3 linked regions of the Xenopus tropicalis genome follow. The protein of the gene in region 3 interacts with the protein of the main gene of each other region in a pairwise test. Links are inferred from orthologs where the notes say so. Each region holds a gene or a part of one and is shown on either strand. Other genes may lie near its edges.

The links.
Region 1: the proteins of hpgds (region 3) and abhd17a interact in binary tests that used the Homo sapiens proteins (3 or more experiments, as listed by UniProt). The two-hybrid records come from large-scale screens. The link is inferred for Xenopus tropicalis from reciprocal best matches to the Homo sapiens genes HPGDS and ABHD17A.
Region 2: the proteins of hpgds (region 3) and meltf interact in binary tests that used the Homo sapiens proteins (3 or more experiments, as listed by UniProt). The two-hybrid records come from large-scale screens. The link is inferred for Xenopus tropicalis from reciprocal best matches to the Homo sapiens genes HPGDS and MELTF.

The regions. Positions count from the first base shown.
Region 1 is NC_030677.2:98,290,665-98,294,910, forward strand, and holds the start of abhd17a (protein ABHD17A), read left to right. Parts: upstream 1-1,301; 5' UTR 1,302-1,872; coding exon 1,873-2,186; intron 2,187-4,246. UniProt on the Homo sapiens protein: Hydrolyzes fatty acids from S-acylated cysteine residues in proteins. Has depalmitoylating activity towards NRAS. Has depalmitoylating activity towards DLG4/PSD95. May have depalmitoylating activity towards MAP6.
Region 2 is NC_030681.2:106,114,276-106,118,460, forward strand, and holds the start of meltf (melanotransferrin), read right to left. Parts: upstream 2,942-4,185; 5' UTR 2,881-2,941; coding exon 2,838-2,880; intron 1-2,837. UniProt on the Homo sapiens protein: Involved in iron cellular uptake. Seems to be internalized and then recycled back to the cell membrane. Binds a single atom of iron per subunit. Could also bind zinc.
Region 3 is NC_030677.2:76,717,166-76,721,444, reverse strand, and holds the start of hpgds (hematopoietic prostaglandin D synthase), read right to left. Parts: upstream 2,873-4,279; 5' UTR 2,818-2,872; intron 1-2,817. UniProt on the Homo sapiens protein: Bifunctional enzyme which catalyzes both the conversion of PGH2 to PGD2, a prostaglandin involved in smooth muscle contraction/relaxation and a potent inhibitor of platelet aggregation, and the conjugation of glutathione with a wide range of aryl halides and organic isothiocyanates.

The sequences.
Region 1 (4,246 bases), about 22 Mb from region 3:
CTATTGAATGCACATGAAGCAGTGATAGACTGACTTCTGCACAAAACGTTGAAAAGTGACATGGTGTCAAACAGAGCTCAGCAACAACAGGCCTGTGGCAATCGTCTGATTCTGGCAAATGCCAGAGGGGCTGCCCGACCTCTGTGTACTGGAAATACCAGGGCTTAATTGGAATCTTAGGGTTGCCACCTTTGTCAGGTTATTTACCCGGACAAAGGGAGCACGTGATGACATAATTTAATTATGTATTTGGCGACATGAGGATGTTGGTATTGGGGATTATTGTGTCCACTAGATGCAATTATGAAGGTTTCTGCACAGTTTCCTTGATATTGAAAACTGGGCAGAAGGTTAACAAACTAGACAGGTGGGAACCTTTTATTTGTTAGTATTCAGAGTGAAGACTGATGAAGAGGGCATTCCCTCCACAGCTGGGACGGCAGTGCAAAACATCCCATGTATCAACCATAGCTGAAAAACTTGACCATCTTCAGACTAAACACAGCCAGTGCAGGCGTTTCCTATTTGAGCTAATGGGGACTGTCGGACTGGGCCCTCAGGGGCCCACCAGAAAACCTTAGACTATAACCTTAGAACCTTAAAACCTTAGACCCACTCTCCAAACTATAATTTCCCCTAGTCTCTTTTATTTACATGCTAGCATCTATTCTTCCATCTATTTCTCCTCTTTGGTCCCATACAGGAATAGGGCAAGACCATGAAGCAGGCCAAATGGTCAGGAGCAGGAGAGCCCACTGACACCTGGGCCCACTAGTTTTCCTGCTGGGCCAGTGCAACACTGGACTGAAATACACCAGCATACACAACACCTATGTGTTCTGAGCCAAATATATATACTGCAGGTATCCATATGGACGTCGGAATAGTGTTTTAAGTATCTCTTAAAGAATACAGCCTCTCTTTCAGTGCCATGTAAACACAACAAGGAAACAAAACAGCGACAGGTTGGATTTCCAATCTGTTGACGTCGCTCTATTTAGAATGCTTAAAGATTAGCGGCAATTATGACAAATGACTACCGTTTGAAGGAATTGTTTATTAACATTAATAAACGAGTTGCTGGCGCATTACTCACACCGGACGGTCAATGTGTAACGCGGAATGACCACGTGGATAGTGTTACTCACGTACATACCCCTGATAATGAGCAGCATTCCTACGGCTTGTCCGGTCCATCCCGCCTCTCTCGGCTTGCACTGTTATCCCTCTTTCCCTGTGTCTCCCTTTAATCGTCACTTCCAGTCTGAAAGACACAGTCACATCCGGCACCCGGGAAATCACACAGACGGCGAGAGATCGTCGGACAGCTCTTGTTACTGACTGAGACAGCGACAGCTTTACTGTGACTAGCGATGTAGGATAGCAGGAGTGACGTAGGTTTGAGAGCCCGAGTGAGGGGATATGTAATGCCCAGCTCGCCGTGCCTGGGGACACCCTACTAACTGTGGCGCTTGCGGATCCTGTCACTCCAGTTCTAAGAACACGGAATAGTCGCGTTGTGGTATCAGACTGATACAACTACACTTTGCTTTCTCATAGAGCTTGGCGCAGTGTCTAATGCTGGCATGTCCGTCTCCTGTCCCACTCGCAAGAAGCTGCTAATATTTCATTTACTGAACTGAGTCGCTGCATAAGAAGATGGAAATATTACACCACACCAGCAATTCTGGCTTAAAATCGTATCATTTCGGCTAATCCCTTGAACTGGGATCATGAGTTTTTATTAACCACTGTTTTTATTTTTTTTAAAGCCAGTGAAAACATAGTCATTTTGTTAAAGTTCCTTTTTTGTATTCGTAGTCATTTAGATGTAGGACATTTTTATTATAATTGTTATTATAGTATTAGGAAATGAACGGATTTTCAATCAAGGAGCTGTGCTGCGTTTTTTGTTGCCCGCCATGTCCTGGTACAATTGCTGCAAAGCTGGCTTTTGTACCTCCCCAGCCCACCTATGCTGTAATACCAGAGCCAGATGCCCTGCCAGCCGGAGGGAATGGACGAGTTGGAACTGGGGTCCTAGGGAGATGGAAACTACACCTCACAGACCGGGCAGATTTTCAATACACTCAGCGGGAACTGGACTGCATAGAAGTTTTTATGACCAAGAGCAGTCGTGGGAATAGGATTGCCTGCATGTACATACGTTGTGCGCCTGGTGCTAGGTATGAAAGCAGGATAGCTTTAAGGCCTCTGATTTCTGGATTGAAAAAAACAATATCTGGTTATGTTTTGTAGGCAGGTCTGGACTTAAAAGAGGCCTGGAATTTCATATCCACAGAGGCACAAACAGTCCTTGCCACCCCATTAAATAGTGACTGTCTGTGGCAGGGTTCTTCACCCGACCTTTTTACCTGTAAGCCACACTCAAATGTAAAAAGTGTTGGTGAGCCACACAAACATAATACAATTTTTTAGGGATGCCAAATATGGACTGTGATTGGCTATTGGGTAGCCCCATGTGAACTGCTGGCCTGCAACTTTTGACTAAAGTTGTCTCTATGCTTCCAAAACTTGTCTCCAAGCCAGATATTTAAAAATAGACTTACTTTGGGTATACTGGGAGTAACATCATGTTACTCAGGAGCCACTGGTTGGGGATCACTGTTCTATGGCATCTTACAGCAGTGATCCCAAACCAGTGGTTCAGGGGCAACATGTTGCTCACCAACACCTTGGATGTTGCTTCTAGTGCCCCCAAACTTGGTGGCAAGTTTTGGTTGAATAAAAACAAGAATTACTACCAAATAAAGCCTCTTGTAAGCTGATAGTGTGCATAGATGCTACCTAATAGCCAATCTAAGCCCTTATTTGGCACCTCCATGAACTTTTATGATCCTTGTGTTGCTTTCCAAGTCTTTTTACATTTGACTGTGGTTCACGAGTAAGAAAGGTTGGGGACCCCTGTCTTACTTACTTACTTACAGCATCCCCTCTGGCATTTGCCAGAATCTACAGATTGCCAGTCTGGGCCTGTTTGAACATTACAGAAGCTCCCCCAAGACAAGAATCACACTAGGCTGTAATGTGACCTGTATGAGGACCAACTGGGGTGTTGGTGGTAGATATAAGTGTGAAGGTTTCATCATTGTGACTGCATAAAAATAAGGCGCAGTTCTTTTGGGTGAATGTGAGATATAGGTGTGTATCAAAAGTTTGTTACGCAAACATTCCATTAAAATGTATTGCTTTTGTAATTGTAAGTATTATCATAATTTTATTAACCATTAACCTACTTGGCATATTTTAAAGCAATTTGCAGTATATTTCATTGGCTGGAAGAGTATAGGTTTTGGTGGCATTCACAGTGGCATAGAAGATCCGGCTTTACCCAGTGATTGCAACCTAATTGCTGGAAGTAATTGCTGGCATACCGTGGCATCTGTGCTCTGTAAAGGGATGTGGGCTCAATACCATTGTAATCCAGTAAACTTTTCTTTTGTTAGCAGGGTCATTTAATAGTTTCACAGCTATTGGGGACCTGCCACCATATTGTACTATACAGGATAAAAAGCAGAGGGTAATTTTGTACCTCCACTCTACCTACATTTCTTTGCCTAGGGGATTGTTGTGTTTGGAGGTCAGCTGTGATACACCTACCATTTAAATCCCCCACCAACATTTGTAAGCTTTACACAAGCATATTATTTTATTTGATTTTTCTCTGTAATAATTAGACTGTACTTTGTCCTTGATTGTAGCTAAGCTAACAAAACCATAATGATGGCAAACAGTCATGTGATGTTTTAATATTAAGTGTATTTCCATATGCTAAAAACTTCAGATGCCAAGGCTTCTGCAGCATGAATCCCATACCTGGTACTTTAAAATGCTTGGTTGCCCTACAGCAAGCAACACCAAGAATGTTGATTATACAGGTGTGGCTACTGAGTTGTCAAGCAGTTTTGCGTCAGTGTTTGTGAAAAAAAAAAAAGTGGGACTAAGTTAACTTGAAACAAGATTTTTTTCCCTAAAGGGATTGTATCACATCTTTTCAAAACAGATATGTTGTGGAGCTCTGATGAAAATGATGGGTTTGTTTATTCTGGCAGATGCTTTGTTCTAAAGGTGCTGTTAAAATCACTGAAAAACAGGTTAAACGAATATCTGTTGCATACCAGTTTTTCACAAGATATCAGCTGTTTTCCAAGTTGTTTTCATTGCTTTTGATTGATGCAACTAACTAATAAACATTTCTCTATTTTTCCCTTCAATAATCATACTT
Region 2 (4,185 bases), on a different chromosome or scaffold from region 3:
TACATAAAAACACCTTTGTTTCCTTTCTTACACTTTCATAATGTGGTTTTATTGGAAATTAACAATTCATGCCTAATTAGGAACAAAACGTAAGGTGCCTTTACACAGGCAAATATTAGCTGCGGACTCACAACCCTTGGCAGAGTTGGTAGTTCATTTGCCCATTTATGGGCCATCAGATTATGTTAAGAAACACCCATTGGCCAAGGAGCACATGAGGCTATAGCTAATGCAGGGATCCCCAACCTTTTTTACTGGTGAGCCACACTCAGATGTAAAAAGTGTTGGTGAGCCACACAAGCATGTAAAAATGTCTTTGGGGGTGCCAAATAAGGGCTGTGATTGGCTATTTGTGATTGTTGCTCCCGAGCCACTGGTTGGGGATCACTGAGCTAATAACTGAGGGTCAGATTTACTAAAACTATATTTTTATTTTAAAATTCAAATAAAGTCATTTCTGCAAATGTCTGAACTTAAAGTCTGTGCGGGAAAAATCTTGAAAAAAAAAAAAATCTGAATTTTTTGACTTGCCCCATAAAAAAAAAAGCACCAAAAATCCGAAACCTCTAAAGTTTAGAAGCAAAAGAAGAATTCTTCAGGGAAGGGACATCTGCTGTTGACTTCTACATGATCTCGGCATGTTTTAGCTGGTGAGTGGGATTCAGAATTTTAGCTGTTTGGACACATAGGAAACCTCAGAAAAGTCTGAACTTTTTTTTTTTGCGACTAAGTGAAAAACTCTTAAATCGGGTAAAAAAAATGTGATGGTTAGTAAATGGCCCCCTAAGTGTAACTAAAGGTGAATCAGCTAAAGGAGCAAGTACAGCGAGCGACAGTATAATGGGAAAAGGGATATTACAGTCGACTAGTATGGGAGGAGGCTTGAGCAATATATTTAGTGATATAAATCAACATGTCACTAAAATTATCTTACGATTTGCATTGATAAGATGGGAGTGTGTTCTGACATATAACCATCATAAAAAATCAGATATCCAACTGTGAATAATAATGTCCCTATGTGATATCTTATAATTATTAATGGTAAACAAATAGGAACTAATAGCTTAGTGCTTAGCCCTCTGTGGTATCACTTATTCTGTAACGGATGGTTGCCCATACCAATCAGTGTATATCAGGGCACTTTTAAGCATGCAAGCCGCATTTGTACAGTCAACTGAAGGTGCAAGCATTTTAAAGGGAACACTGCTGAGAACACTTTCTTGAACCCCATTTTGCTATTTATGTCTAGTAAATCATGCAAACTTTAAAGGGATTCTGTCATGATTTTTACTGTATATTTTCTATTTTTAAATTACACAGCAAATAATTCAATCTACCATCTAAAATGTTATTTTTGAACCAACAAATGTATTTTTTTGTTGTTGTAATATTGGTTTATAGGCAGCCATCTCAGTGGATTGTGCCTGAGTCTGAGCTTTTCCAGACTTGGATTTCTTACTTTTTAGTGCTATTCTGATATCTACTGGGAGCTGCTATCTTCCCACTGTTCTGCTGATCAGCTGCTGGGAGGGGGGTGATATCACTCCAACTTGCAGTTCAGCAGTAAAGTGTAACTGAAGTTTATCAGAGCACAGGTCACATGGTTGTAGTACCCTGGGAAATTAAGAATTTGGCATGTTTTCCCATGGCAGTATTCCTTTAATTACTGAACTGGCACTATACAAAGGAAAAATGTCACTCACAGGTTGAAACAGTCCTGTATGGGTTGTCAATTGTTGACACAAAAGCATGCTTATTTTATTAAGCAGTCATACATAGCAATTATTGTACTCACCATAATGTCTACAGTGAACCCTTTGGGGTTGTGTAACGGAAACATTAAATGCAGAAGGTTTGCTTTCATTACCACTCCTTTCTATAAAGGTGTTGTTAGTTTAGCTTAAACAGTCATTTACAATAAGGCTGGCTGCAAGCTTGGTTATTACTGTGCATTTTCATACTTTATTGTATTATATATATATCACTGTACTTTGTGTTATAATCTCCTCACAGAAAATTAAAGAGGTGAAAGATAGGAAATGATGTTTGCCATTCCATATGATCTTCATACTCCCCTTTAAAAGCATTTTAAGGAACATGCCGATATGATTCCAGCAAGCTCCTCAATAAACTTCAGTCAGAGGGACAGTTAACTGGGCGAGACATATCATTGAGAAATAACTGCATAAACAAACACAACATAACATTTTATGTCTAGGGGTTTCTAACATACAAGTCCCCACTCAAGAGCAACGGTTCCTATACTGGTTTAACTATTAATCTGTTTGGTCAGCATGGGAAAGAGCTTGTAAAAAATGGCTAATCCCCTATTACCTTGAACAAGGGAATCAACAATTCACATTAGAACTCAGTTGCAGCTGAGCTGCTAACAGCCCATAGAACAGAAAGGCATTTGACTGCTCAGAGCAGTTTAATAGATTAGCTCTAATAAGTGTTAAAAATACATTTTAATATAATCAACACTATGCATTTGAAATTTTAATTATTCTTAATCCTGTAAACAAATCAAGTTTATACACACTTTTTATATTAGTTTAGGGCCAACTCATACCCTAATAACAAAAGTTCAGTTACCCTTTGTTTCTCAGACTGAAGTCAACCATTACAGTATGGGGAAGTTTAAAGATAGATTAAAAAAAAAAGTTTATTTCATTTGCTTGTTCTTCCAGACTGGATTACAGCTATGGCCTTTTATTACTGCCTGACCAACAAAGGATAAGGTAATAGCTTAATAAACTACAACTCTGCTATGTACAGAGACTGTACACCCCATGAGGAAACAGAGAAAGTTAAAAATAACTCGAGGCACTTACTTGTATGAAAGTAGAAAAGAATAAATACAATTTTCCAGATCATTTCACTAGGAGCTCCTGACTGCCACTTCTTCAGCTTTTTCGAAAAAGAACTCGGTTACAGAGAAAACCAGCTTTAAAATAAAGGTAACTGAACAGGTCTGCCCTCTACTGGCCCGGTTATGCATTCAGATGATTTAACTGCTAATAAGAAAGCAGTCTTTTACATGGACCATCATACTCTTGCATAACCTTTAGAAAGCCTTAGGCTTCTTCGTGCTGTTGTAATAAAACACATCAATACCTGGAAGCTTAGGACAAAGGTGGCAGCAGATTTAACCATTGAAGACCTAGCATTCACACAGATAATGCATGAAAATTTAATCCATTTTACAAATGTGTGCCTGCAATAAAAGTACAGGCATGAGACCTTTTATCCGAAATGCTTGGGACATGTGGTTTTCCAGATAAGGGATCTTTCTGTAACTTGAAACTCCATACCTTAATTCTACTAAAAACCATTTAAACATTAAATAAACCTAATAGAATTGGTTTAACAATTAATTAAGTAAATTATTAATTATGTCTTAAGGTGGCCATACACGTGCAGATTTTAGTCTTCTTCCGACGAATGTTCAGATATTAATTGTACATTTAAATGCAACGATCTAAAACTAACATTCAGACTGAAATTGTAGGATAAAGCCCTTAAAATAACAAATCAGAGGATGTTCTGAAAATGAATTCGTTGGCAGACACCAATCATACTAAAGTGACGTCCCACAAATGCATTGTAGGTCCAAGGATATTGTTGGAAAAACAATATATTAGCAGATTTAATTGTTATCTGACCAAAGTTTTTTAACCTGTCTGATTAACTAAATGACTGACGGCCATGGTATGGGAATTATCGGGAAGGTAAATAGGAGCCTAAACATGGTCCGAAAATTGTTTTGTACTATTATATTGGTGTATGTATGGCCAGCTTTAGTTGGGAGCAAGCACAAGGTACCACTTTAGAAAAAGGGAATATGTTTTAAAATTATTTGATTAAAATGGAGTCTATGCAAGATGGTCTTTACCATAGGTAGTAGCCTTCTGAATAATGAGTCTCCAGTTAATGGATCCCATACCTGTAGAATAATTCCTCTAAAGGACAATGAAAGGTTAATATAAATTAAAAGTAAGTCTAAAGGAATTATTTTTAAGTACTTACTGCATATCTAAATTCCCAGATCCCTGCTTGCTTCTCTGAGATATGGTGCTGGCAGCCTACAGCAGTGTGAAGACTAAAGTGACATCACTGAAATCTCTCTCCCCTTCCTGTAGGTGCCAGCGGCAGCCTTCCTATTCTCTGAACATGTGTGTA
Region 3 (4,279 bases):
CCTAACAAAAGATAGTAGGGGCCTCAGGGAAAGATCACCAGTACGTTACAATACTTTCAAGCAACACGTGAACATCCTTTCATTTAAAGATCTGAAATATACATTATGGCATTTGTTCTTTCCGAATTTATTTTAATTTTTTTTAAAGGACAATAATAGTAATTTATACATCATATGTCTAACAAAATTTGTACAAATGATGAATGCATGGCTAAAATAAAGTAATATTCAGTGGTGCCTTGGCTAATTATCAAAATGACCATTTTAATAAATTGGTCCAAAACCACTCAGAGAACAGAACCCAAACGGCTTGTTGTTCTGTTCCTAGCTCACCAGTGACCAGAACCATGTACAATAGAAGATGCTCTGCTCTTGCCTTCAACTGCGCATGCTCCAGGTCAGCTTGTGTATTATTAAGAGGTACATGCAAATAGCACAGTATTGGAGAGCGCAGGTGGTGTAATTTTATGGGTGGGGGGAATCGGGAGGGAACATATGTTGTCTTACAGCTTTGCTTGTCCTTTAAAACTTACAAATATTCATTATTGTAATGAATAAGATGAATCATTAGATCAGGTACATAGAACAAAGAAGACTTTCAATCCATAAATTAACAGAGCCAAATTAAAAGGAAAAAAAAAAACCCTAGTCCAACCACCCAGTTTCTAGATAGCATTGTCCGTTTGGTGGTATGTGGTTCACCTAGCAGAACTGTTCGGTATGGATAGCAGCGCTAAATCTTATTACTTATGCAAGCAAGTTAAACCCTAAAAAAAAAACCAAAAAAACTTTAATGACGTAAAAGTATAACCTAGGACACAAAGGACACAAAGGAATGAAAGCATTCTTCTAACGGCCTCTCTCCCAACCCATCCTATGACTTACCTCCCTGTACCCTCAGGAAGTCTGAAAAGTTTCTTTAAAAAAAAAAAAAAAAAATTGTCTTTTAGTGTACCTCCTTCAGCTGTACATGCTCTATGTCACCGAACAGAAAAGGACCCAATGCAATGCAAGATGGAGACTATTAACCCTTTTTAAAGGAGGTGCACTAGAAGAGATGTGTCTTTCCCTCCCTGCACCACCAGCTTGTGTGTGGGGATGGAGACCACTGGACTAATGGCCACAAGATCACTCCCTTAGCTGGGGTCTGTTACATTTTACCCTGCCCCACAATTAGTAAATGAGCCCTAATAACTCACAGGTCTATTCTATAGATAGGCAGTGATTGTAACTACTCTTTAATGAATTGCATGCATTAATGGTTAAAAGAATGGAAATAAATGAGATATTAAGATTTGTGTATACACACAAGTAAATTGCCAAGTTCTCCACATAAGGGCATTTATAATTAATATTTAAACTGTGTGTGCATCAATATAGTCTGTACCATCTTTATAGTGGAAAGGAAAAAGAAAAAGTTGGTGGCAAGACAAGTCAACCTGAAGAAGAGAAAGATGATACACAATTACTTTTACTAATATCTAAGGAATTCCTTTCAGTCTTTAAAGATATAAGGTTCACAGCTTGCCCCAATCATATAACTATGTGTATAGGTAACCTGACCTACAGTAAAATATGTTTGTACATTATCCCTGTTTACATTTCAAACTATAGAAAAAGATCAGACAGGTTTTGAAAATCAATTATGCATTTCAGCCCCAAGAGGTAAAATAAGTGCAAGTAAATGCTTAACTTTGTAACAGCAAGTGAACAATTGTTAGGGGTCAAAGATTAAAATGAAGGTGGAGCCTTTAAGGTTAGAGATATTTAAAACTGCAGATTATGGCCGGTGTGGTAACCTGCAAGTTACCTACCCTTTCACCATTTCATTATTCAGCTAATATGTGGCGTTTGTTTGCAAATGTATTAATTTTCTTACATTGACATTTCATCTTACTTTTGCTTGCTGGCTCTGCTACAAAGTTAGGAAACCAAGTACAGAACACAATGAGATTCCTATACAGTATTGTAGCTGCTGCAGATACAAACATATATATATATCAAGTTACTTTTATATATGATTCGAAAATGCTAAAAAAGTGCAGTTTGGAACACAGATACACAAAGCTGACACTTTTACTAAAAACAGAAAGTGCTGCTTCCCCTTCCATTAATATCTGTGACAGAGAAAGAGCAGTGACACACAGGGTTATTTCCAGCAAACTGCTGCCTGCTTGATTTGGTGGGTGGTAAAACAGCAGAATTCTCACCGCTGTTTAAAGGGAATTATAAATATAATGTTTAAGGATGAATTCAAGCAATTAAGTGAACAGTACCTCCAGACAAACTCTGCATAGTACAGAACTGTATAGCTGCTTGGATTTAGCGAACTATACTGTGACACATATACATCATCCAGGTATTTGCCAGCAGGTGAGGCAATGCACTTCTAAACAATGCAGGTTGCTGGGCTGCACCATTTTTTAATACTAAATATTAAAGCAGCCCCTCTATCTGGATTCACCCCCCTCTCCACACACATACACATACATGTATACATATGACCTGTACATGTAAGGAGCCCATGTCATATACGTTATATGAAATACTATATTCAATGCTTTGCTAAATTAAGGCTTTTTGGTTTCATAAATGATTGTTCAATATAAAATAATTGTGTGTACTCTAATTTTCAACTTGCAAAGTACAAACCAAATCTGTAAATGCCCATTACTAAATATGAGCTCATTATATATCTACAATTCCCGCCCTGCAAACAACATGATACTTCTGATAACCTAGCATTGTAGGCTAAAATGAATACATGATATACTTTTCCTGTAAAGATTAATAAGCAAAGCTTTCTAACAACGTTACCTCAGGAACACAATCTGACCACAAAACTTCCTCTGCAAGCACTCAGGCGCAATGTGATTGCACGGCGCTGTAACTGGAGATTTATAGCAGCAGATGAGGAAGTGCGCAAGCTCCGCCCCTCCCCGAGCCTAGGAACCAGAGAGTGTACAGAGTGCCCTCTAGTGGAAAAGAAAATGCATTCCATTTATTCTGTAGCTTTTTTTCAGAACATTTTTAAGCAGTGTTGGAACCGGTGGAAATGTACATATGTAGTGTTTCTTGAAATATTTGCTGTTCATTCTGTTAGAAACAGTTTTTGGTAGAGGTATAATTGGGAATAAGTACAAGCTAGTAAGGAATAAGTATACAAAGTATTAGTGCCTAAGTAAATATGAGAGGAAGGGTTTGACGCACATAGTTACGTTTGCTTTTTAATACAAGTGCTTTTGGATGAGCTCAGCATATATTTCTCTATTTCAATATATTATGTATGCACTGACAAATGCACAGAAATGCAGCATGTTGTGTTTTAAAAAAATTAAGTGTGCTAAAAACTCAGATCTGAATGTTCATGTGTGCAATCAGGTAAGAATAAAATGGAATCACTAAGCTCATGCATTTAGCTGCTCTCACATCTGTATTTCAGACATGTGAGTATGAGTTTGAAGCCTGTAAAGACTTTTAAGGCTCTGTCTTGCACACAAAACCAGTCTACCCATGAGGTGGCTTTTTTATGCATTCCCCATGGAAACACATAGGGGCACATTCATTAAAGTACGACAGGGCTGAATACAAAAAAATCGTATTTTTTCTAAAGTTTACAACTTTTGCATATTTTCTGCTATATTTTCGTTAATTTGTGCAACTTTTTCGTACTTTGCGACAATTTGCTTGACAAAATCGTAATGAGTACGAAAGTTTCGGATTCATTCAAGCTTCGTTATCATGACTTTCCTTGGGCCAGGTTGGAGCTGCAGAGTGCCACTGAGTCCTATGGGAGGCTTCCAAAATCATAAAAATCAGAAAGGTTTTTCCGTATCGTTCGGATACGAAAATCAGATCGCCATTCGCAAACAATCAATACGAAAATTTCGGATCGTAAGTACAAAATCTTCGTATTCAAACAAACTGATTTTTTGTGATATTTGTTCTGAATTTGTCACGCTGAAAGCATTGTTAATTGCCTAGTAAATTGTTTAGTAAATGTGCCCCATACTGTAGGTTAACTTGAGTCTCTGCTATGGGAATTGTATCCACAAGATGCCATGTAAAAGTTGAACTCTGAAATTGTGTAAATCTAATTCAGTATTCAGCATTCAGTGCACCTTTGCAGGTACACTCCTCCTCATAACACCTGCTGCTCTTTTGCAGGTTGAAATTAGTTGGGTTTGGTGGGCTAGCATACAAACACAGGTAACCATACTAAACTTTTTGTGTGATTTTTACCTATGCAATTTTATCTGTGCATGTATGGTTAGCTTAT